4 linked regions of the Drosophila melanogaster genome follow. The protein of the gene in region 4 purifies or fractionates together with the protein of the main gene of each other region. This does not show direct contact. Each region holds a gene or a part of one and is shown on either strand. Other genes may lie near its edges.

Region 1 (4,803 bases), on a different chromosome or scaffold from region 4:
TGGACATTGACAATGCGGAGGAGTTCGAGGTGGACGAGGACGGTGACCGTAAGTAGCTGCGGCAGGCTTTGTAATCCACCGGTCTTATGCTTTCTATTTTCTCCCACGCCGCGCCGTGCACCCTACGCTCAAAACAGAGGGCATTGTGCGCCTGAAGGAAAAGGCGAAGCACCGCAAGGGACGCGGATTTGGAAGCGACAGTAACACCCGAGAGGCGATCCACAGCTACGAGCGTGTGCGCAACGAGGACGACGATGAGCTGGAACCTGGTCCACAAAGGTCCGTCGAGGGCTGGATACTGTTTGTCACCTCTATCCATGAGGAGGCGCAGGAGGACGAGATTCAGGAAAAGTTCTGCGATTACGGAGAAATCAAGAACATTCACCTGAACCTCGACCGGCGTACTGGGTTCTCAAAGGGATACGCTCTCGTCGAGTACGAGACCCACAAGCAGGCGCTCGCCGCCAAAGAGGCCCTGAACGGTGCCGAAATAATGGGACAGACCATTCAGGTTGACTGGTGCTTCGTTAAGGGACCGAAGCGCGTTAAAAAGTCCGAAAAGCGTCGCAGATAAACGACTCCCAGCCCCAAGAATAATTTTTTAAAATAGTTTAATGAATAGGCAACCGTACAAAGTCTATATGAATTGAAATAAATCAGATAACTCTACCAACTACCCTTTATACAATCAATTGGTTAGAATTATATATCTTATATTGGTATTCATTTAAAGCACTACGAGGTTTGAAACGCAAGAAGGTACTACTTCATCTTTTTCTGATGCAGCAGATGTTTTCTCAGCGCCTGCTGCTTGTCCTTGAAGCTCTTCTTAACCTTGGAGCGAGCCTTGTGTCGCAGCATGCCAAAGTTCTTGGTTTTGCGCTTCTCGCGGTTCGTCTTGGAACAGTGCTCGTTCACGCGCCCATCCTTCCAGCCAAAGCGCTCGCGATCCTGCCGGCCCGCCTGCACAGTCTCCAGCCGCGACTCCTTGTCGTGCTTGCGCTTCTTGTAGATCATCTCGATGCTGTTCAGCTTGACGAACTCGGCGCGATCCTGTTCAAGTGGTCTCTTGCGGGCACTGGTTACGGTCTTCTTAAGATTAGCCGCGTTGATGCGCTTGAAATCTTCGTCCGTGAATATGCGAGTAAGAGCCAGTTCCTGTGCAGCCTCCTTTTGGTTAAGGATCCTCATATCTTTCTTTTCCTTCTTGGCCTTTGCGGACTCTTCGCCACTTTCCACGCCTTCGTCGGAATTATCTTCATCCTCATTCTCCTCGTCATTACTGTTCTCTTCGTCTTCGTCTTCGTCATCATCGTCCTCATCCTCATCTTCGTCTTCTTCATCATCGTCCGCTCCACCACCCTCACCATCACTGTGCGCCACGTTAACCCATTCACCATCGTTTGAGTCCGTATCGTCTTCGCTCTCTATGTCAATAGTCTTAGAGTCCTTGAGCAGAGCCTCTGCACCCAAGACAGTGTCGTGGACTTCGCGCTCTCCGTAGGCTCGAACCTTTCGTTCGGCCTGGGCCTCTGTCTGCCTGCCTCGGTCCTTTTTGTGCAACAGGGCAGGCAGCTGTTCCCTGTAGAGTGTGATTAGCGACCGTGCCGCCATCATCACCGACTTCTCCTTGTACGTTTTGTACATTGCCAGGTCCTGCAGCAAATCCTCGCCCATGGCCAGGGGACATCGCATGCAAATCTCACGCGTCGCATTCAGACCTATGGCCATCACATCGCTGGAGTTGCGTTCAGTAATGAAGTTGTTGGCGATCGTCTTTAGGATAGGCTCGATGATGTCTCCGGGAACCAGTTCGTGGGACGCTTGGGCGGCAAACTGGAGCACACGTGTCACCTGGCGTTGGTGGGGTTGCAGAAAGCGTGTTATGTACGGATAGAAACCGAAAAGGAAGAGGTCGTGGATGCCGATCAGCCGGGAAATAACGTCCAAATGCATTAGCTTCACCTCAAATCGCTCGTTGGTGGCCTGCAGCTGCTTAAAGAGCCCTTCGGCCATTCCCTGCGGATTGTGCACCAGGTGAATGCCTGAGAAGTTAAAGGCTGGAGCGTTCTTTTTCTTTTTCTGGGCCTTCACCGCTTGCTTTTTGATCTGCGCCAGTTGCTTGGTCCGCTTCTTGGTTTTCTTATTGACTCGATTGGCCATCAGAGCACCCTTAAGGTCCACCTCGTTCTCGCTGTCAGTGTCCTCCTCTTCATCCTCTTCGTCGTGGCCGAGGAAGAACTTGAGCGAGGTGACCAGTACTTTTGTTACCTTAGAGAAGCACCCCACAGTGGCTATGACATTCACCGTCTTAGAATCATTCCATATGTTTTTCTTGTACAGCTCGATCATGATATCAGCGGACATCTTGGCTGCCTTCGGATTGGCATCCTTCAGCATGGAGTACATGAATGCCTGCAGGCTCTGCAAAGACATAAATGAATATTGATTGAGTCCAACAGTGGTAGCTGACGACTGCGTCTTACCGAATTGAGCTTCATGTCCTTGTGCTTGGCATTCATATTCTTGATGTCCGTCACAATGTGCGTTTGCAGAAAGGTGCGCAGATTCTTGTCCGGACACCGCAGCAACTGAAAGAACAGTTCCAGTATGTCCAGCGCGGGCACTAGGTTCTTGTTTCTCAGCAGGATTAGAGCTTTCACAAAGCAGTTACGCATAGCCGGGTCCAGAACGGTGGCATAGTTCTTCAGCAAATCGGAAAGACGCTTTGGGAACTCCTCGCAGACGGCCGGATAGCACTGAGCCACCTGGGCGACAAACATGACGATGTCATCCAGGGATTTGTTTTCTTCGCTGGGATTCAGCGCAAAAACTTCCAGCAAGCTAAGAAAGTGTTGGTACTGGATGTGGAACTCATCGCTATACGACTCCGGATCCCGCTTGATGAGGTTCTGCAACTGCGGAAGGTTCTCCGGCAGCTGGTTGTTGTTGGGCCGCACCATGGTGAGCCGTTATAACAGTATAAAAACTACGATTATTTTCAACCACGTTCTGTTTGGTTCGCAAAGTAAACGCACGTGTGGTGTGTGACCGTTTGTGGGTATAGCAGAAATGCCTCACCTAAAACTATGTTTATTAATTTAATTAAATTAAATACATTTAGTCTTATTTACATATAATTCAATAAAAAAAATATATTAATTAATATAAGCTATGTTGTTCACCCCCACCTAAGTATTAAATTACGCAAAACTTAATTTGCCTAGTAACACCTAGTTACGCTGATCTTTTTATTATTGTAAATATAACACGAGCTAATCTAATTTACATCTTTGCACTATTAAAGACCAATAATATAAACATAATAATTTAACTATGCACCAAGTAATCCTCAGTAAGTATGGTCACTCTGCCGCTCAGTGTTGCACAAACAGCTGCACTTTGGGCGAAGATTTTCTCTCGACTCGCCATAAAAAAAATGATGGAACTGCACGCAAATGACGTTGACCTGGAGGACGGCGAGGTAATCATAAGCACCCAGACTACCGAGCATCTAATGACCATATCTGCCGGCCTTTCAGCTATCGGAGAGCGACGATGATGGCGTTTACACGCCGTTGCAGCGACCTGACGGTGCGGAGAAGGTGGCCAGTCCCCTTACCACCTGCCATCAGATCCAGACTGCGTTAGAGGACGAGTCACAAAGCAACAGCGACTCCTCGACTGCCGAATCCTCCGAGGACGGGTGCATCAAGAAGCTTCGTACGGAATCCACCGGACCCGACGGCCACAAGAAGCGGAAAAAGCGCATTCGGCGCACGGTAATGCGGCGCGTTCCGCCCACGGATGCTGAAATGCAACCGAATCGAGCCCGTTTCAAGAAGTACAACGTGTGGGCTTCTGCCCTGCAAGAGGATGCGCTCAGCGAGAATATGCGTGGCTGCGACGTTACCCGAAGCGGTCGGGATCGAAATGTTGAAAACTACGACTTCTCATTGCGATACCGGCTGAACGGCGAGAACACTCTAAAGCGACGACTCTCAAACTCTTCGGAGGACGGCGGCGAATGCTCCCATCCAGCTCACAAGAGGGGAAGACCTTCTAGTCGGCCCATCACCGGGAATCAACAGCGCGGTTTGGTCAAGAGTAGAACGGGTCACCGGTCACGTCGTGGGACATCTTCGGCCAGCGGATCTTCCGATTTCTGCGAGCCCAGACACATTCTGGACTTAAACGAAGTGGGTGAGAGAGATCCTTCGGATGTGGCTACCGAAATGGCCAGCAAACTGTACGAGGAAAAGGACGAATTACTTGGTGAGTATGTGAAATAAATAATGCCCTACTTAGTAAATAATGCCAGTTTTACCAGTTCGAGTCGTGGAGGTTCTTGGCATAGATGTGTGCCTAGAGCTATACAAGGAAACTCAGCGCATTGAAGCCGATGGCGGCATGATGATCAAAGTAAGTAGTAAAGGATGTTCCCCCGAATATACTAACACGATACCTCGAAACAGAACGGCATACGGAGACGTACACCAGGCGGGGTATTCCTGTTCCTAATAAAGCACCACGATAACATCACTCAGGAGCAGCAGAAGCGCATTTTTAGTGAGGATCGCCAGAGTCTGAGCAAGTCTCGAAAGCAGATCGAAACGTTGATGCGGGACCGTAAGGTGGAAGAGTTGAAGAAGTGCCTCAGCAAGCAGGTTACGGAACTGCCGACGTTAAATCAGCGCAAAGAGTACTACATGCAGGGCGACGAGCAAAGTGAAGATAAGCAACCGGGCAGCTGTAAGAAGATCCCATTATTATTGTTAAATCTCCTATGTGACTATTTTGACT
Region 2 (7,633 bases), on a different chromosome or scaffold from region 4:
CCTTGGTCGTCACGCTTCCAGCGCGTGACGATTGGATCTGCGGCAGGATTTGGACTGAGCGGCTTGCGCGAAATGCTCTGCTGCAAATGACGAAAATCCGTTGAGTTTAGCACAGAGTCCGTGAAACTCATGGTGTCGGTAAGCTTGTTGGAGCCGCACAAAGTGCGCTCCGCATGGGAGTTGCTGCTCTGGTTCTCCTTGTTTTCCCCATCGTCATAATTGTTTCCACGACCATGCTCCCACAGGTGGTTGACAACCTCTACAGTGGATGTATCCGAATTGAGATCTATGTCCCTTAGCGCCATGTCGATCGCGGAGAGACTTAGGATCTCGGAGCTCGACGGCGGACGCTTGGTCTCTTTGGCTGCCAGACCATTCCTGCTCTTTAGCGCAGTTTCAATCCGATCCTGTTGCATCTTACGCATAAGATTGCGTCCGAGATTCGAGCCAGTTATGGCATCCGTTTTAGTGTATGTTTTATTGTCTGGCTGTGGGGTCTTCTCGCCAACCGAATCCAGTGTCACGTTACTTTCTGATTCGGGCTGCCATTGCTCACAATGTTCCATATATTTTCCGAACGCGTCTGGAAGTAGTTGCCCAGCGAAAAGTCTGGATCTCCGGCCAAGACAGAACTGTAAATAAAAGTTGAAAGTTGATCAAATTATATTTGGAAGACTATTTTATGTTGCTTACTTGGACACCGAGGTTTCTATCTCGGATGTTGGTGCGGCAATCTTCTTCAACGCCTGTGTGCTCAACGTGGCCGTCGGCATGGCCGTGAACTCCTGCGCCCAGGAGATTTCACCGAGCACCAATTTGGACTGCATTAGCTCGGCGGGAGCAAAGCTCTCATCCTGGCCTTCCGCCGCCAAAGAGGCAGATCCAAAGGAAAATCCCCCACCTCCGTTAAGACTCAGTTCACTCATGTCCGCAGTGCGCGGTAAGCTGCGCGAGCAGTTGAATGAATCTGAGAGGCTGCTGGAGCTGCCACGTGATAAGTGATAGCTGGCCTCCGCCTGGCTGGCATCCTGCAGCTTCCTTTCCAACAGGCGAGCCTTCTCAACAAAGGATGACTTTAGAATTTCGGCCATCGACAGGGATGGCTTCTCCCTGCGGCGCTGTTTTCCCGCCTGGCAGAGTGTGGACCTGCCGGTGATCTCCGCAGGCTCAAAAGAGATGTTTGTGACCTTGGTGGCGGGCATGACCAAAGCAAAGGAGCTGCTGCTGTTCAGATCGATGGTGTCGTCTGTTACCAGCTCCGAGATGTTTGTGGACGAGCGCATCTGGAGGGCAGTGCTCTTTGCTTGGCTGGAACGCGACGGTCGGGGATTTTCCAGTGTCTCCAGCGCACGCAGTCGTTCTTCTCGGAGCCGCTCGTGGACGGCAGGAGAGTCCCGACCAGTGCCGCTCCTCCTTCCACTTTTACTGAAGCTGGACAAGTCGCCGAAGACTCTAGGAAATGCGGATTACTTGCTGCTTCGGCTTATTTCCGGCGTGCTCCGCCTGCTTACCTTTAGATTGTCCACGTTCAGAATGCCCAGCGAGTTCTGGTCCATGTAACTACCATTTCGCTGGCTTCCACTGCTTCTGTCCATTCCGCTCTGTCCTTTAACAGTTACAGTTTGCAGTGCGAACGCGAAAACAAAAAAAAGGCACGTCGCTTCGATCGAAAATGGACGTCGATAAATGATAAAAGATCCAGGGCTGACACTAGTGTCGAAGCGGCCTTTGCTTACTTGTCCGGTCGATCAAATCTCAAAAATGTAAATAATTTAATAATAAATTATTCTATTGCATAACACTGTTGCTAGCGCACATATCAAAACTCAACAATAAACAAAAAAACATAAATACATATTTTAAAGAAAAATGTTAACACAAGTCACCAATTAACTGTGGGAGATAAAATCACGTATCACATACCCCACTCGTTAAACCGAAATGATAACCGCCAGCCAATTCAAGAGTAGAATGTAAAATAAGCTTCCGATAAACTGTAAACTTCAACATGGGCACAACGTGCAACGCCAACGCGCCTCCAGCCCTGGTCTCTTTTTCGCGAATTCCTCCCCGGTATCCCACTTTTCAATTCTCAATTCCGCGTAACGTCGGCTGTAATTTGTACCGGATTGCATTGGATTATCCGCCTGGGCGCGAACAGTAACTCCCCAAAAATGGAGGCAGCTATTCTGGATATAATCAACGGGATCCTGGCCATAGACACGGAACGAATCCGTGAGGTGAGCAAAGCGGGTCAAATTGACCATCCGGCAATGAGAAAGGAGGTTATCCTGGGCGCCAATGGATGTCTTTCATGTATGCTTTCCTTTCTGACTGCTCCATGTCGGTCTGACCGCGTGGCTGGATCGCATTCCCTATATACATGCGTACATATCTATCTATATATGTACGCCACATGAACACAGTGCCATATAGTTCGGCATGGGCACATTCCTCTATACATGAAATGTATAGAAATGTATACATGATCAGAACAAACTTCCGAAAACTGTTGAAATTTTTTAGAAATAATTATTTATATATTTATAATTAATATTAATTAATTAATATTATATTTTTATTTGCATTAAATTCGTGGATATACCATCATTCTTTTCCAAGAATCTTTGGTCTCTCATGTTCTTGAAATGCTTCCTAATTGAAAAATTACTTATGTTGATAGCATGATAGCATAGGGCCATAAATAATAAAGTTCCATTTCTTTCGCTTCCTTAGTCCACAGCCAAGATGCTAAAGGCCTACGAGAATCCCGATTCTCTGCTGGTTCTCACCCAGATCGTGATGTCGGACAGGCCGGTCCAAGAGCGGCAGGTCGCCGCCGTGCTCCTCAAGAGGCGGGTCAAAAAGTTACGCCACTGGCAGTTGGTTCCCGCCGAGCACCAGGCAGCGTGAGTTAACTGGTTACCTTTTAATGACTATGATACAGTAACGGATGCATGTTTTTTAGAATCAAATCGAACATGCTACAGGTCCTCATCGCGGTGAAGGAAAAGACCGTGAAGGGCACGGTGGCCTTTATAATTGGATCGCTGGTGCGCCACGAGGAGGACAAGCAAAACTCCTGGAGGGAGGAAATACTGAAGTTTATTTACGAACGTTGCAGCAGCCCCGATCCAATAGAAAGCGAGCGGGGCAGCTCAATCTTTTCCTCGCTCATGGACGCTGCTCCCGATCAGTTTTCGAACCACACGGATACTATCTTCCCGTTGCTTGCCGGCATTCTAGTTACCGCCGAGGCGAATGGGAACATGGCCACACCCACCGTGCATAACATGTTGGCGGGTACGTGCGTCCTGTTGCCTTTCATAAGTGGACATAGTGATGCTGAGCAGATTATGGTTAAGGCTGTGCCGCTCATACTCAAGGCCCTGGCCGCCTTTGCCGAAAAGGGGAACAGTAATGAGTTCATGGGTGCCTTTGATATCATCGACAGCATGGCCGAGTATGTGCCCCACTTGCTGACCGGCAATGTGAAGCTGCTTCTGGAGTTTTGTCTGATGATTGCGAGAAACAAGCAGTTCGACGCTTCGATTCGGGTTCAGGTGCTTACCTTTGTGGGCAGCCTAGTTCGCCTCAAGAAGAAAATTATTATGAAGCAGAAACTACTACAGCCCACACTATCTGTTCTTTTCGAAGTGATTTGCCAGGACGACCTCAAGGAAGGTGGTAACTGCTCCTTTATATTTCTGTTGCCATGCTTGCTAACCCTATTCCTATTCTAGACGATGATTACTTTTCCTCGGAGAGCCTAAATAGTCCATCCAATGCAGCTGCGCAGACACTCGACCTGATGGCCCTTCACATGGTGCCGGACAAGTTTATTCCGCCACTACTGGATTTGCTGGAGCCTGCGTTGCAGAGCCCGGAACCTGTGCTTCGCCGTTCCTCTTTTATTTGCATGGGCGTTATTGCCGAGGGCTGTTCCGAGGCCATTGGGAAAAAGTATCTCGAGGTCATGCTAAATATCATCAAAGCTGGAGTGTTGGACTCTGTTATGTTCGTGCGGACCGCCGCATTCTTCGCCCTCGGTCAGTTTTCCGAGTTTCTTCAGCCGACGATCTGCAAGTTTGCTCCCCAAATTCTACCCGTGTTGTTCGACTATCTAAACCAGCTGGTACTGGAACTCAAGGTAGGTAATCATTGTGGCCATCTTCGACCAACTTGGAATTTGTATATTTTACATTCTCGTTTATTTGTTTGTGCTGCTTCTAAAGGCTGGCCATAACAGCAATGGGCCAAATCTCGATTCCGTACCTGCCAAAGATTCCATAATGTACTTAGACAAGATACAGATCAAGCGAAGATCGGTCCTCGCCAAATATAGGGTGCTTTTTCGATGTCTTACTGTTTACTATGTACTTGATTGCACATCAAACACCTAAAATTTGTTGAATAGTTTGCCAGATTGATTACATTAAGAGCTCTGTTGTAGATATATCATTTCGCACTGGTTTATTTAACTTTTTGGCGTATGTTAAATGTTCATTGACTCGTTTCTTAATTGTTATTTAAATGAGTAATAAGTTCGTCGGTTACATAAAGAAGGTGTCTTCAAATGGGGTTCTTTTCACGTTTTTTGAGGACTGCATTCCGTTTTGCACCAACAAAGCCAACAAATTGTTTGGCAGAAACATACTAAATGTATTTTCTTTCAGGTTGGTGAGCCGGATTCGAAACATATGGATCGTATGTTTTATGCCCTGGAGACCTTTTGCGAGAATCTGGATGAGGATATTGTTCCTTATTTACCCACACTTATGGATCGGTAAGACTAGACTATACTACGGAAATATGAGTCCACTCCCTGATAAACTTATTGTGCAGTCTGTTTGGGGTTATGGAACCGCAGAACTCAAATCAAATGCGTGAAATGGCTTTGTCGGCCATAGCAGCGGTGTCAGCAGCAGCTAAGGAAAACCTGATGCCATATTTCCCCAGGATCATGACCGTACTACAGGGCTGTCTGGTGAAGGATTGCCCAAAAGAAATGTACAGTCAGCGCATCCAAGCTATCGACACTCTGGCCGCGCTGTGTCGCGAATTGGGCAAGGATAATATTATTCCTCTTGCCGACGAAACAATGAACTTCTGCCTGATGATGCTGGAAGATGGTCCGGATGATCCCGAGTTCCGCAGGAGTATATACAACCTGATGTCCTCTCTGTCATCAGTTGTCAACGAGAGCATGGCCAGTGTGTTCCCCAAGTTCATTGATCGCATAATGGAGTCTGTGATTTCTTCGGAGGACATGGTGCCAAATGTGTCGGACAATGCGGAGGATGATTTGGCCCTAGTAGATGCCCCCGACATAGAGATTGATTTAGAGCACACAGACGACGAAGATGACCAAGACGCTTACCTGGGGGAGAATGATTATATCGTCGAAAAGGAGGAGGCCATTCTGTCACTCAAGGAGTTTGCTACCCATACCGGCGCCGCCTTCGCGCCCTATTTGCAATCTGCATTCGAGAACGTCTACAAGATGATTGATCATCCGCAAGGCGACGTTCGTATGGCATGTATTGACTCCATTTGCTCGTTCATTACGGCTCTCCACAAGTTGGATGATGCCGCCGGCCTGAAGCGCGCCTGCGAGATTGCCATTCCAAAGTTTGCACATATAATGCGCACCGACGACCAGGTTGCGGTCGTACTCCGCATGCTTGACGTCCTCTACGATGTCTTCAAGTACGTGCCGGCGATAAACAGCCAGGAGCACGCCGAACTTATATTCGGTTGCATCAGGGACATCTTCACAAATAAAATGGCCTGTCAGTTTAACGAGGAGAGCGGCGGCGGAGATGATGAGTGTTCGGAGGAAAGCGAGAACGACGAGATGCTGTTCGAGAACGCTGCCAATCTGTTCCCCATGTTTGGCTTAACCCTTCAGCCGGAGCTGTTCTCGCTTTATTTTGGACGCCTTTACCATTTCTATATTCAAAGGCTGGTAGGTTTTGCACGAAATACCGAACATGATGTGGCAAAGGAGAGAGGTCGATCTTCTCTTGGCAATAATTCATACAACCATCGATATTCCGAACGGCTTACTGAAATTCAATTATTTCGTTTCAGGCGAAGGTAAAGGAGCGCGATTTACCAGAACAGCGGGCATACATCTATGGCGCACTTGCTGACTGCTGCAAGGCGTTAAAAGGTTGCTGTGCTACTTATTTCGATGCCCTACGTCCCATTTTTATCGCCGGTTCCAGGGATTCTGATGCCAAAGCGCGACAGAACTCCTATTTTGCACTAGGCGAAATTGTCTTCCATTCCGAGGAAAAATCATTCGAGTGGGTTTCCCGGAAATGAACTTTTCTGCAGAATCTAGTTTTGATGTATATGTTTTTTGTTTTTTTTTTGCATCCATAGGTCTTATCCGACAATTTTGCAAGCCCTTTCCGAAGCAATTGTCAGGGAATCCGTTCCTGCCGCCATGGACAACATTTGCGGAGCAGTTGCTCGTCTCATAGTTACCAACCCAGATTCAGTGCCGCTTGGCCAGGTGCTGCCCGTGTGGCTCAACCATTTGCCACTGAAGGATGACACCGTGGAGAACGATGTGATTCAGAAGGCGTTCCGTGTGCTATACTTGAAGGCCCGCCCCAGCATTGAGGCACATCTTGAGCAAATCCTGGCCATCACCATAGAGGCGAGTTACAAGAAACAGATGCCTGACGTCGAGACAACCGAGAGCGCGGTGGCCCTCATCAAAGAGATTCGCGCCAACTACCCGGAACTGTTCAGCAAAGTATCGAACATGAATCCAGAAGTGTTCAATTATGTGCAAGCCCTGTAAGCCCACATATCCGTGTGAAAACCACCAAACAGCTCAGAACACCCAACGTCCTCCGCCCGCAGATTCATTTATTGGAAGTGATGCAAGCTTTTTATACGAATACTTTCGAAATAGTCTTAAATTTCAGTTGTGCTTCTGTGGAGTTAAATCATTCAAGATGAGCGATCTTTAAAAGGGCAAGATGAAGGTTTCTACGCGCCAAAAAACGGAGGAAAATGTTTTCTAACTTATAACCACATCCAGTGAGACATTAATATGCATTGAAATAATATAGGGATTACTTGTTTCATTGAAGGCTATGTTATTATTTAAAATTGGTTTTTCTTCAACCATTAGGCAGTTGATCTTAACTCTTATAGTTTCAGTCTAGTTTCTACCAGTGTGCATTTCGTCGGATGACAACCTCACGGACTATGTCGGCATGATTGGCGTGCAGCTTGAGATTCGAGTCGACGTCCGTCCAGCGCACATTGGAGGCATCGTCACCGGCCATTAGCTCCAATTGTCCCACCTGGCTCCCGTCTTCATCGTGGAAGTTCAGCGCAGTGGTTTCCATCCAAGCGTTGTCCGTGTTTCGAAAATCGTCTACGTAGCCTTGGTATACCTGAACGCCTCCCGCTTGAAAAAATCGCTCAACCATGTTGGCTTTGTCCGTGAAATTCAATGCCTCCTCGGTGAACTCCCGCTTAAGGGTGACACTGACATTCTCGCCGGGATCGACCATTCCACCGGGAATGGCCCACAACTTGTTGTCGGACCGCTGTATGGCAACCATCTGTATGATATTCCTGCAGGAAAGAGGAAGTGATGTCATCA
Region 3 (4,905 bases), on a different chromosome or scaffold from region 4:
CAAGCCCATACGCACGCACACATAGACACGAACTGTGATTACCCCCACACACATGCACAACAGGATCTGAGTAGTACCTTGAATTTACTCGCTGCGATATGCGTTGCACGTAAGCACACAACATATATGTTTTACAGCACTTTTATGCACTTTTTTTTATTCGTATATGCGTAAATAGAAAACGTGAACGACGTGACCAAGTGTGACCGTTGCTTATTTGGGTCGCAACTCCCGCGTGTGGTCAATTTCAAATTTTTAGGCTGTTGCTTCACCTCTCTGTTCGATGGCTTCCTCTTCTTCTGACCGCAATGGTATTCAAGTTTGGAACAACAACAATGTGCAAGTTCAAAGTCAGAAAATGACAAATAACCGAAAGGCACACAAAAAACAATCCTAAACATGTTTGCTTGCATGCCGAGACACGCACATACATCAATATTCATGTATAAACAAGCTTACAGTGTAGGAAATATAAAAAATTACAAAACTAGAACTGTGATTACCCACACACATGCACAACAAGATCTGCCTACTACCTTAAATTTACTCGCTGCGATATGTGTAGCACATGAGCACACAACATATATGTTTTATAGCACTTTTAGGCGCTTTTTATTCGTTTATGCGTAAATAGAAAACGTGAACGACGTGACCAAGTGTGACCGTTGCTTATTTTCGTCGCAAATCTCGCGTGTGGTCAATTTGAACCGTTGTCAGAAACTATAGGGTCTCGAAACATGTGCAAATAATTCATTTATATCATTCAACTTATGCTGCAAATAATTGCTATTATTATTATTTTAATTAATTATCCACACTGCTTATGTTCTTCGCTCAAACAGGAGGTAATTAAATCATTGAAGGGATTTCAAAAATCTATGTATGCATTCACTACTAACTAGCTTGGTCTTTTTTTTATTTTGCGCCGCTTTATAAATTTAAAAAAATATCATTTGGAATTACACACATCACTGTGTTAAATTAAAAAGAAGATTTTTAGTGATTGTTTTCTTTGAGATATTGAAGTCGCTATCTGCTCCTATATAAATATTATTTCGAAATTATCGATTTATAGTGCGCTATACTGACAAAAAATAGGCTGAAATTCGCATGAACAAGCATATTGTGGTAAGACAAAATGAAATCAGAACTTCCCAAGAACTACGTTGGAAAATTACAAATGCCCAAAAGTATTGCTCCACAAAATATCGTAACGAAATATCGCGAAATTTGCAACACTTTTGTGCACATTCGGTGGCAACGCCGCCTAAGAAAATACCTATTGCCCCAATCGATACCTATCGATGAGCGTGGGCAGCCCTGTTTGTGCATGTGCTGCCATTCGATTTGATAACCAGCACTCCGTGCACACGTTTTTCGGCTTTCTAGAAATAATTGGGCTGCGATTCAAACTGTGAAGTGATTTTTTCTATATTTTTTTTTTGTGTGCACAAAGGCTCTTGTAATTCGAGGATTTGGCCATCGCGAGTGCGGGTGATTAAGCAGGCAGCTCCGATTGCCAGAGTTTTGCGGATGCATGGCAACACTGCCGCACGCCGGCCATGTTATTGTGATTTGTAAAAGGTGGAACGTAGACACGTGTTTAATTCGTGCAGCACTTTAGCGTTGAGAAAACGACAGTAAATCGCCAGCAAATAAGCAAAAACAATACACAACTCGCGTGTGCAGTAGATAGCTTTGAAAGCACCCAAAGATAGTGAGCAAAATAAGTTACCCAAGCGGTTCACAAAGGTAAGAAATCGCAGCACGCGGAACATAACCTAGTACAAAAAAAGTGCGTGTGTGTGTTTGCCAAAACAGAGAGATGTGACGGAAAATGGTGTCATGTTCTGTTCTGTGTGGATTTGTTCCAATGTCCGTGTCTTGAGCTCTATTCGCACCTCTTTCCCGGTACCATAGCCAACGTTTTAACTACCTTTTTTTTGTCAACTTTTTGTTAAGTGTATGACTCTGCCTTGCCGCTGTTGTTGTTGTTCCGGCAAAGTGACAGTAAGTGGTTATGGAAAAAATTTGGAGTTCAATTCGGCGATTACACAATGACAGCACTCACACACACACACACCCACAATCGCACGCATACACATGCCGAGCATAAGTGCGTCTGTGTGTGTTACAGCTTTCACCGTTAATGTTCGGTTTTTTTACGCCTGAAAGAGAACAAAGGCGAAAAGGAGCTGCCACTCCCACAAAGAAAACATTGCGTCTATGCATACATACATATGTATACACATATAAAGTAGTATATCCCCCGATTATACAATCCCCGCCCATTTTTGGCCACCATATGATCGGAAACCACGTTGCCAAGATTATAACAATGTGGACTTTTTCGGCTAGCTGGCAATGTTGTTGCACCTGATTTGTTGTTGTTTTGGTGCTCTCTTCTGGCTTGCCTCTCTGTGTCGCTCATTCTCGCTTGTTCGGGGGAATTTCAAATTTTTAGGCTGTTGCTTCACCTCCCCGTTCGACGGCTTCCTCTTCTTTTGGCCGCACTGGTATTCGAGTTTGGAGCAACAACAATGTGCAAGTTCAAAGTCAGAAAATAACAAATAACCGAAAGGCACACAAAAAACATGCCTAAACATGTTTGTTTGCATGCCGAGACACGCAGACACATCAATATTCATGTATAAACAAGCTTACAGTGTAGGAAATACAAAAAAAAAATAACAAAAACTAGAAGACCATTGCGAAGTTGTTGTGCCCTTATCTTACATTTTGTCGTTTTAATTCAAGAGTTGATACGAATACGTGTAAAACTACACTTCTCCCTGCTCTTATGCATATCCATTTATTAAGAATTTTAGGCAAAATGTGGCAAGCTTTGTCAACAAGTTTTAATACTCTAAGCAAAGGGTATAAAACGTAATCTGAAAAATTCCCGTCACCCGGTTTCGACGATTAGGAAATGCCACAGCTGTCTGGCCAGTTGCCCTTCCATGGCCATTTTATAGCACCCCACTAGGCCCCTTATCCCCCACCCCCTGCATGCTCCCATCAACCGTTGATCTGTCGCTATATGTACATTTATACATATACATATGCATATACATATACATATGTACATACATACAATGTATGTTTGTGTTTCAGTTGCTTGTCGATTGAGCTTATCATCTGACCACTGTGTAACAGGAGGACCTTTGGGCCCTAACAAAGTGACGATATTGTGGATGGGGGGAAGCGGGAGTATAGTGGGTAAATCGGTTCTATAGTGAGTAACTTAAAAGTACTAAAGATCTCATGGCTTTAAACTACTGTTCGGCATGACTTGCACTTTTCGGGCCCCGGAAATTTTGACCAAATTCGAAGGAGCGTCTTACAATCCATTTGAATGGATTTTGATTAACGGTTTTCGGATTTCTTTGTTCTAATGAGCTCGCCACTCTCTTTTCTTCTCTCCGGCTTTCTGTCTCGTTTCCGCTTGGTGGGATGAGTGTGTGTGTGGGTGGAAAGGGGCGCTAAATAAAAACTTGCCACCACGCATCCTCTCTTTTTTCGCGGGTTGGTGGGGGTATGCCGATGCGGAAGAGCGGATGGAGTGAAGAGCGGAGAATCGGTGCCGAAATAAAAAAAATAATACAAATAAAAAGCCAGAGGAATTGGCAATTAGAAGGCGTGCAAAGTAGTTTCCCTTCATATATCGAGCAGTCGATATCTCGAATCTCTCGAACAATTTCGCCGGCATATCGAAACCCAACAAAAAAAGAAAGAAAATAAACAAAAGCATAGAAGAAACTCCAAAAAATAAGCCGAAGCGAATTGATGCCATAAAACGACATAAAATACAAACGAAACCGGAAGAAGCAACGAATTCAGTTTTATCCTAGTGGTAATACAAAAACACACATTTATTTTGTGAATAGGTGATGAATTTCTGGCAAAGCTGTTGTTTTCGTAACTTTTAGTTTTGTTTTGTAATGATTTCGTAACATTTGCCATTGCCATACGTAAACGTAACGGTTTCTTCTTGCGCCTCTCTTCCGTTCTTCGCCGACGCTCTTTTGCGTTCTTGCGCACGCGCTCTTTGCATGCGATCTATCGCTCCATCTCTCTCGCTCTCTCCCGTTGCGTTTTTCCCTTCCGCGTGGCATTCAAAAATCGCTTTGCACCTTTTTCGTCGTTCTCTCTCGTTGTCTCTCTCTCTCTCGGCATTTGTGTTGTTGTCTATATTTACGTATTTATTTGTTGCTATTAATACGCAAAAGTTCAGAAAGGAAAAAACCAAAATCAAACACACTGGCAAACACACACACACACACGCACACTTATGCAGACGAGCACATGCAGGCGGGTCTCGTGACTTGCAAAACCAATTCGAAACCTTTAAATAGGTTTTTTCAAATATAACAACATGCATATGTCGTTATTTAAAAAACAACGTTCATGTGGATGGTGTTGACAAATTAGCCCTTTAATCTCACACTTTTCTTCAAAATTGATTTCATATTTGAAATTCTCGCTTAAATTTAAACGCAAATTCAAAGCTCTTTACTTTGTTTTCAAAGTTATTCTACACAAAATTGCATATTGTGTACCGTTTCTTATCTTGAGCCATGACAAGCTTTTTAAAGTAATTATATACGACGCTACTTGATTTGTAAATTGTTGCCCTGATAAGAGGTGTTCACACATTATTTCCAATTGTAAATTAAACAACAAACCATAACTTTTCCAAATATTGCACAAACAAAAGCTACTTCATTTTTATTTCAGTATTAGTGTGATCAAAATAATCCTATTTGTGTGACAGTACACAAGTATATTTTCAAATCGCACAGACTAATATAACTTCTTCTCCCTTTCAGATCTTTCAATATTCAGCGAAAATGGTATCCGGTCGTCCTCTACTCTACCTCTCACTGCCCGGTGTAGCATTTATAC
Region 4 (4,828 bases):
CTCATGTTAGCTGGTTACGAATGATCTATTTATTGTATAAAAAAATTGTAGGGGGTTTTTGGGTTTACCAATAAATAGATTTATGGGTGTACTGATAAGATAAATTACCAAAAGCTCTCCGTTGCACAAAATAAGTGGTAAGAAACTTTTTAGTTCAGTTTGATTGCGGCAATTGAAGGGAAAACATCTTAACAATTAACGACAGACTTAAATTCATTAAAACTTGTGCTTTAACCATAAAAAACCATGGGAATAATTTGCCAAATTCTTTTTCACAACAACACGCAAGGGGTTTTTTACGCGGGCCAAATGGTTGCTGGTCAAGTGACTCTGAGCACTGATAAGGCGATTCAAATCAAAGGTAAGTACTCAGTTGTGATTGCGATACTTCATATAATTCTCGCAACATTTTACATATTAAGCAATTCGACTTAAGCTAAAAGGTTATGCAGAGACCCATTGGACCGAAAGCAAGACTGATTCGAATAACAAGTCCACTTCAGAGTCGTACAATGGATTTGAGAAATACCTTTCCAGTAAAGTTTATCTTTTGGGTTCCGAAATTAGCCCTGGTAAAATATTGAGTGATAATTTGTTATTGAAATTGGTCAAAATTTCATTTTATGTATTCGCAAAGAAATGGCTTTGGAGCCGGGAACTAGGTCCTACAATTTTGCTTGTCCAATTCCAATCAATTGTCCCTCATCGTTCGAGGGGACTCATGGTCGTATACGTTATATGGTGGATGTCAATATCATTCAGCCGTGGAAGTACGACAGCATTTTCTCAAGAGCTTTCACCGTTATTCAAGTGATGGACATAAACACCTATAACTCTGTTTCACAGGTAAATATAACATGAAACGAAATTTTGGAGGTCTGCTATAACAATGTAATCGCTTTTAAGGTTCCCGTGCAGGCCAAGACTGAGAAAACCTTTGGGGTCTGGCCCTTCCGATCGGATCCTCTAACGCTGGAGCTGAATTTGCCGCAGACTGGCTTTGTGCCTGGTCAGACGGTACCCGCAAATGTTCTGATTGGTAACGAAAGCAAAATTCGGGTGCACGAAGTGAAGGTTGGACTATCAATGATGATCACCTACTACAGTGATCTAAGTTCAGGTTCCAAGTGCGAGCGCAAGTCCGTGGCCAAGTTAAAGGCAGATGGAGTTTTGAGGAACTCCCGGAAAATGTACGACTTCCAACTGATGATACCCTCTACTCCGCCTTCATGTTTCCATCTGTGCCGCATTATCAAGATCGGATACCAGATCGAGGTTGTGGCCAAGGTGAAGGGCATGCATATCAATGGAACTCTGATAATGCCGGTGACTATTTGTGGTGTTCCGATATCGCCGTCAGCGGTGCAATATACGCCGCAGAGCTCTGGGCCAGAGGCTCCAGAACAAAGAGCTTTGACTTTGATTGAGGGAGAGGGAGCTTTTGCTCCAGCTGCTCCCCCATATCCCTGGTCAGAAGGATCCACACTATGTAAGCTGTCCTTGTTTTAATATGTCCATATCAATTATGTAACCATACGATTTTTATAGCGCCACCGAACTACGCCGAGGCCATGCATTCCCATAGTGACTCTGAGAAACAGTCAGAGTCGGGAAATGCGCAAGAGAAGTCTTACAAGCCGTTGTATCCTGTCTTCGATTTGTCTACTTCAACTGTAGAAAAGAGCAAGGAAGCGGCTTTGGATAAAGAGGAAAAGAAATGAAGGCGGGCGAAAAAACTATTCTACATTTGAGAACCATTGGACATCCCATCCCACGCCTGCTTGTCAAGAAGTCCTTGGGATTTTTCCGGAGATATGAGGGCTATTTGCTGCTCGACTGCATTTGGCAAAATGTATAATTCAAAATTGTGACAGCGATAAGATAAAGTTTTTCTGGCCATCGCTACCAATATAGAACAACCGCAATGTTTGTTTTATTCTCAGTTGATTTCTGGCAGCCAAGTGGGCATGTGGGTGCTATCGTCGCGAAAAGCGGTTCCTTCCACTCTGTCTGGAGTTCTCGGAATTTAGGGAGTAAATAACTGAACATTGGCATTAAAATCAAATCAGTCGTGTTTGCAGCGGCATCAGAGTAGGATCGGCCCATAAATACACGATTGCGGTTACAATTACAATTATGACTGTTACCTGTGAAATTGATTTCGATAACAATCCCCATGGCACCTACTTTGGGGGCGAGGTACTCACTGGCAGAGTTACGTTGAAGCTGGACAAGATGAAGTTGGTAAAAGGTGAGGGGCAGTTGATTTGAGATACCTTTGGAATTTGACAATATGCCATGAGTCATTCTTATCTTATCGTCCAACTTAAAAGTGCGGTTGAATGTTTTTAAACGAAGATTTAGTCCGGTGACTCATATATTTATAGTGAGTAGAGAACCACACGTGCGAAATCTAATGTCTACATGAAGGTGTTTGGCGAACATACACAAATGCATCAATGATAATATTTGCGTTCGATAAGATTAAATTATTTTTAAATAATCAATGGGTTTCGCATTAATTAATATTAAATAGGGGTGGATACATATTTGACTTTTTCATATATACAACGATTGCTTTTGTAAGTTTTTATGGATATTTCATGTGAATGCATAACAGTAATTCTGTATGATTAAAAGATTTTAATTTGTCAAAACCATAATCATCGTTTAGATGACTTAAAAAACAATTAAAGAATAAATTCAATTCGTTACAGTACATTGAGCTAAAATACCTTTCTAAGAAATACCTTATCAACTTCTTCTCCGCAGCCATCACCTTGAATATAACCGGATACGCAGAGACGCGTTGGATTGAAAGGGTGACCACAAACAGAAGGAGGAGACGTCGCACATTCTGCGGCCGCGAGGATTACATAGCGTCCAAAACATTTTTGGTGGGATCCAATCTGAGCAGTACGTAAAGCTCCATTTAGGCAAGAAAGTCCATCTAATTGCTAATCATATCTGCAGGCCAAGTATCCATTGAAGCGGGAATTCACACTTACAACTTCGTGTGCCTGATTCCCACCGAATGTCCTTCGTCCTTCGAGGGATCACACGGCAGGGTGCGGTACATGGCAACCGTAACCCTCGTCAGGCCCTGGAAATTCGATCAGAGCTATACCCGATGCTTTACGGTGCTAAAAGTGATGGACTTGAACTTCGATAGTCCACTGCTAAGGGTACGAATCAAAATCAAACACGAATACATATCTGTTAGAACCTAAGCTAATTGAATATGTTATGTAGGTACCCGCCCACAGTGAAACCTCGAAGACCTACTGCTGCTGGCCTTGCCGATCAGATCCGTTGGCCCTCCAACTGACCGTTCCACAGACAGGATTTGTACCTGGCCAGAATGTTCCCCTTAGCGTGCTGGTCACAAACGATAGCCACATTCCGGTGGAGCAGCTCCTCATTAGTTTTGTGATGCTGGTGACATACCACAGTAAGCCACCTTCGATGCCCAATACCACGTCCGAGAGGTTGGTGGTAAACACCTTCAAGGGGGACGCTGTGCAAAGGAACTGCAAGAAGCTATTTAGCTATGAGATCAGAGTCCCGGCCACTCCGCCCACCTGCTTCAACCTGTGCGGCATCATCCAGATCGCCTACCAAGTGGAGGTGGAGGCCAGGGTGAAGGGTTGCCACAACAACGAGGTTGTCACCATTCCGCTGACCATTGGCAGTGTCCCTCTTGCACAACACGTACCAATCCAGCCTCGGGGTTTCGTCCCCCAGCTGAATGTTAATGAGCTGGCTGTTGAAGAAGTAGCCACTGCTCCAAACTCTTCAAGTCCATGGTCTGTCGACGCATCCATTCGTGAGTTTACTAGAATCCATAAACTAATTACAGTATCAATTTATGTTTTTTGTTGGTGTTTTTAGCTCCGCCCAACTATCAGGAGGCTGTTCACATGCGCAGCACGGCTGCAACGAGGTCAGACGACTTAGACGACCCGGAACCAGTACCGCCCAATACTCTCAGTTTGGATGGCGGTGCTTATAAGCCACTCTATCCGGTCTTCGACATACCCAGTCCCTCAGCTCCGCCGCCGACGGATTATACGCAGAATTATATGGCAGAGAGGGCCTTTGTCAATCCGGCCATGGATGTGGACAAAGACAAGGGAACGTGGCTATGAGAACGAAAATAAATACTATACTAGAAATGTAAGGGCGATAAAGCATTTGCACACAAGGCAAAAGTTCCACCTAACACTTTATAATAAACATTTTATCACAATTCCAAGACTGGTACAGGGTGGAGCGATTTTTGAAATTATTCGAAATTATATATATATTACCATATGTAGTCTAAGATTTTCAAACACGACGCTTTTCTTTCCTCTTGAAAACCCCTCGATGAATGCTGGCAATAACTTCCCCAGTGCCAAGGTCTCGACAACCAACTCTGATAACAGACCGAAAACCCCAAGTGAACGTCCGAGTAGTTCGCAAGGGAACTTATTATCGACTCTTATACAGTTTGGACTACGATTCCGTATCGTTCCCGGTGAAATCCGAATCCGACATCGGGTCCAAGTTATGGTTCTTATCGCTTATCTAACGACGCGGTCGCACCGCAAGCAGTCCAGAAGTTTTGTACTTAAATTAGTCGCAGTGAGTTGCCCCATAACATCGGTTTTAGCTTTTTCGCGCTCGGACATTTAATCTTGGGAAAAATGGTTGTTACGTGTGAGATCAGCTTCGATAATAATAAACATGGTACTTTCTACGCCGGTCAGCTGGTAAAAGGATGCGCGACCCTTAAATGTGACAGGTCCAAGGAGGTTCAAGGTAATTATAGTAAACGTTTAATAAA

The links.
Region 1: the proteins of CG18745 (region 4) and Mys45A purify together in Drosophila melanogaster (affinity purification with mass spectrometry, with the first as the bait; one large-scale study listed by BioGRID). This does not show direct contact.
Region 2: the proteins of CG18745 (region 4) and Arts purify together in Drosophila melanogaster (affinity purification with mass spectrometry, with the first as the bait; one large-scale study listed by BioGRID). This does not show direct contact.
Region 3: the proteins of CG18745 (region 4) and spoon purify together in Drosophila melanogaster (affinity purification with mass spectrometry, with the first as the bait; one large-scale study listed by BioGRID). This does not show direct contact.

What each region holds. Positions count from the first base shown.
Region 1 is NT_033778.4:9,110,909-9,115,711, forward strand, and holds Mys45A (mystery 45A), read right to left. Parts: upstream 3,044-4,803; 5' UTR 2,964-3,043; coding exon 2,487-2,963; intron 2,425-2,486; coding exon 763-2,424; 3' UTR 597-762; downstream 1-596. Other genes in the region: tsu (tsunagi), read left to right, coding at 1-48, 138-574; Phax (phosphorylated adaptor for RNA export), read left to right, coding at 3,440-3,484, 3,543-4,275, 4,331-4,422, 4,476-4,752. UniProt on the Drosophila melanogaster protein: Required for 60S pre-ribosomal subunits export to the cytoplasm.
Region 2 is NT_037436.4:16,601,038-16,608,670, forward strand, and holds Arts (artemis), read left to right. Parts: upstream 1-1,813; 5' UTR 1,814-2,174; coding exon 2,175-2,240; intron 2,241-2,736; coding exon 2,737-2,909; intron 2,910-2,968; coding exon 2,969-3,687; intron 3,688-3,743; coding exon 3,744-4,150; intron 4,151-4,676; coding exon 4,677-4,786; intron 4,787-4,845; coding exon 4,846-5,968; intron 5,969-6,093; coding exon 6,094-6,311; intron 6,312-6,390; coding exon 6,391-6,817; 3' UTR 6,818-7,109; downstream 7,110-7,633. Other genes in the region: CG4098 (uncharacterized protein), read right to left, coding at 7,191-7,605.
Region 3 is NC_004354.4:5,417,299-5,422,203, reverse strand, and holds the start of spoon (spoonbill), read left to right. Parts: upstream 1-1,867; 5' UTR 1,868-1,965; coding exon 1,966-2,010; intron 2,011-3,107; exon of another isoform or gene 3,108-3,887; intron 3,888-4,829; coding exon 4,830-4,905.
Region 4 is NT_033777.3:7,783,262-7,788,089, reverse strand, and holds CG18745 (uncharacterized protein), read left to right. Parts: upstream 1-1,970; 5' UTR 1,971-2,136; coding exon 2,137-2,251; intron 2,252-2,772; coding exon 2,773-2,916; intron 2,917-2,973; coding exon 2,974-3,185; intron 3,186-3,252; coding exon 3,253-3,826; intron 3,827-3,891; coding exon 3,892-4,148; 3' UTR 4,149-4,247; downstream 4,248-4,828. Other genes in the region: CG18748 (uncharacterized protein), read left to right, coding at 247-361, 423-572, 638-846, 907-1,489, 1,549-1,721; CG18747 (uncharacterized protein), read left to right, coding at 4,689-4,803.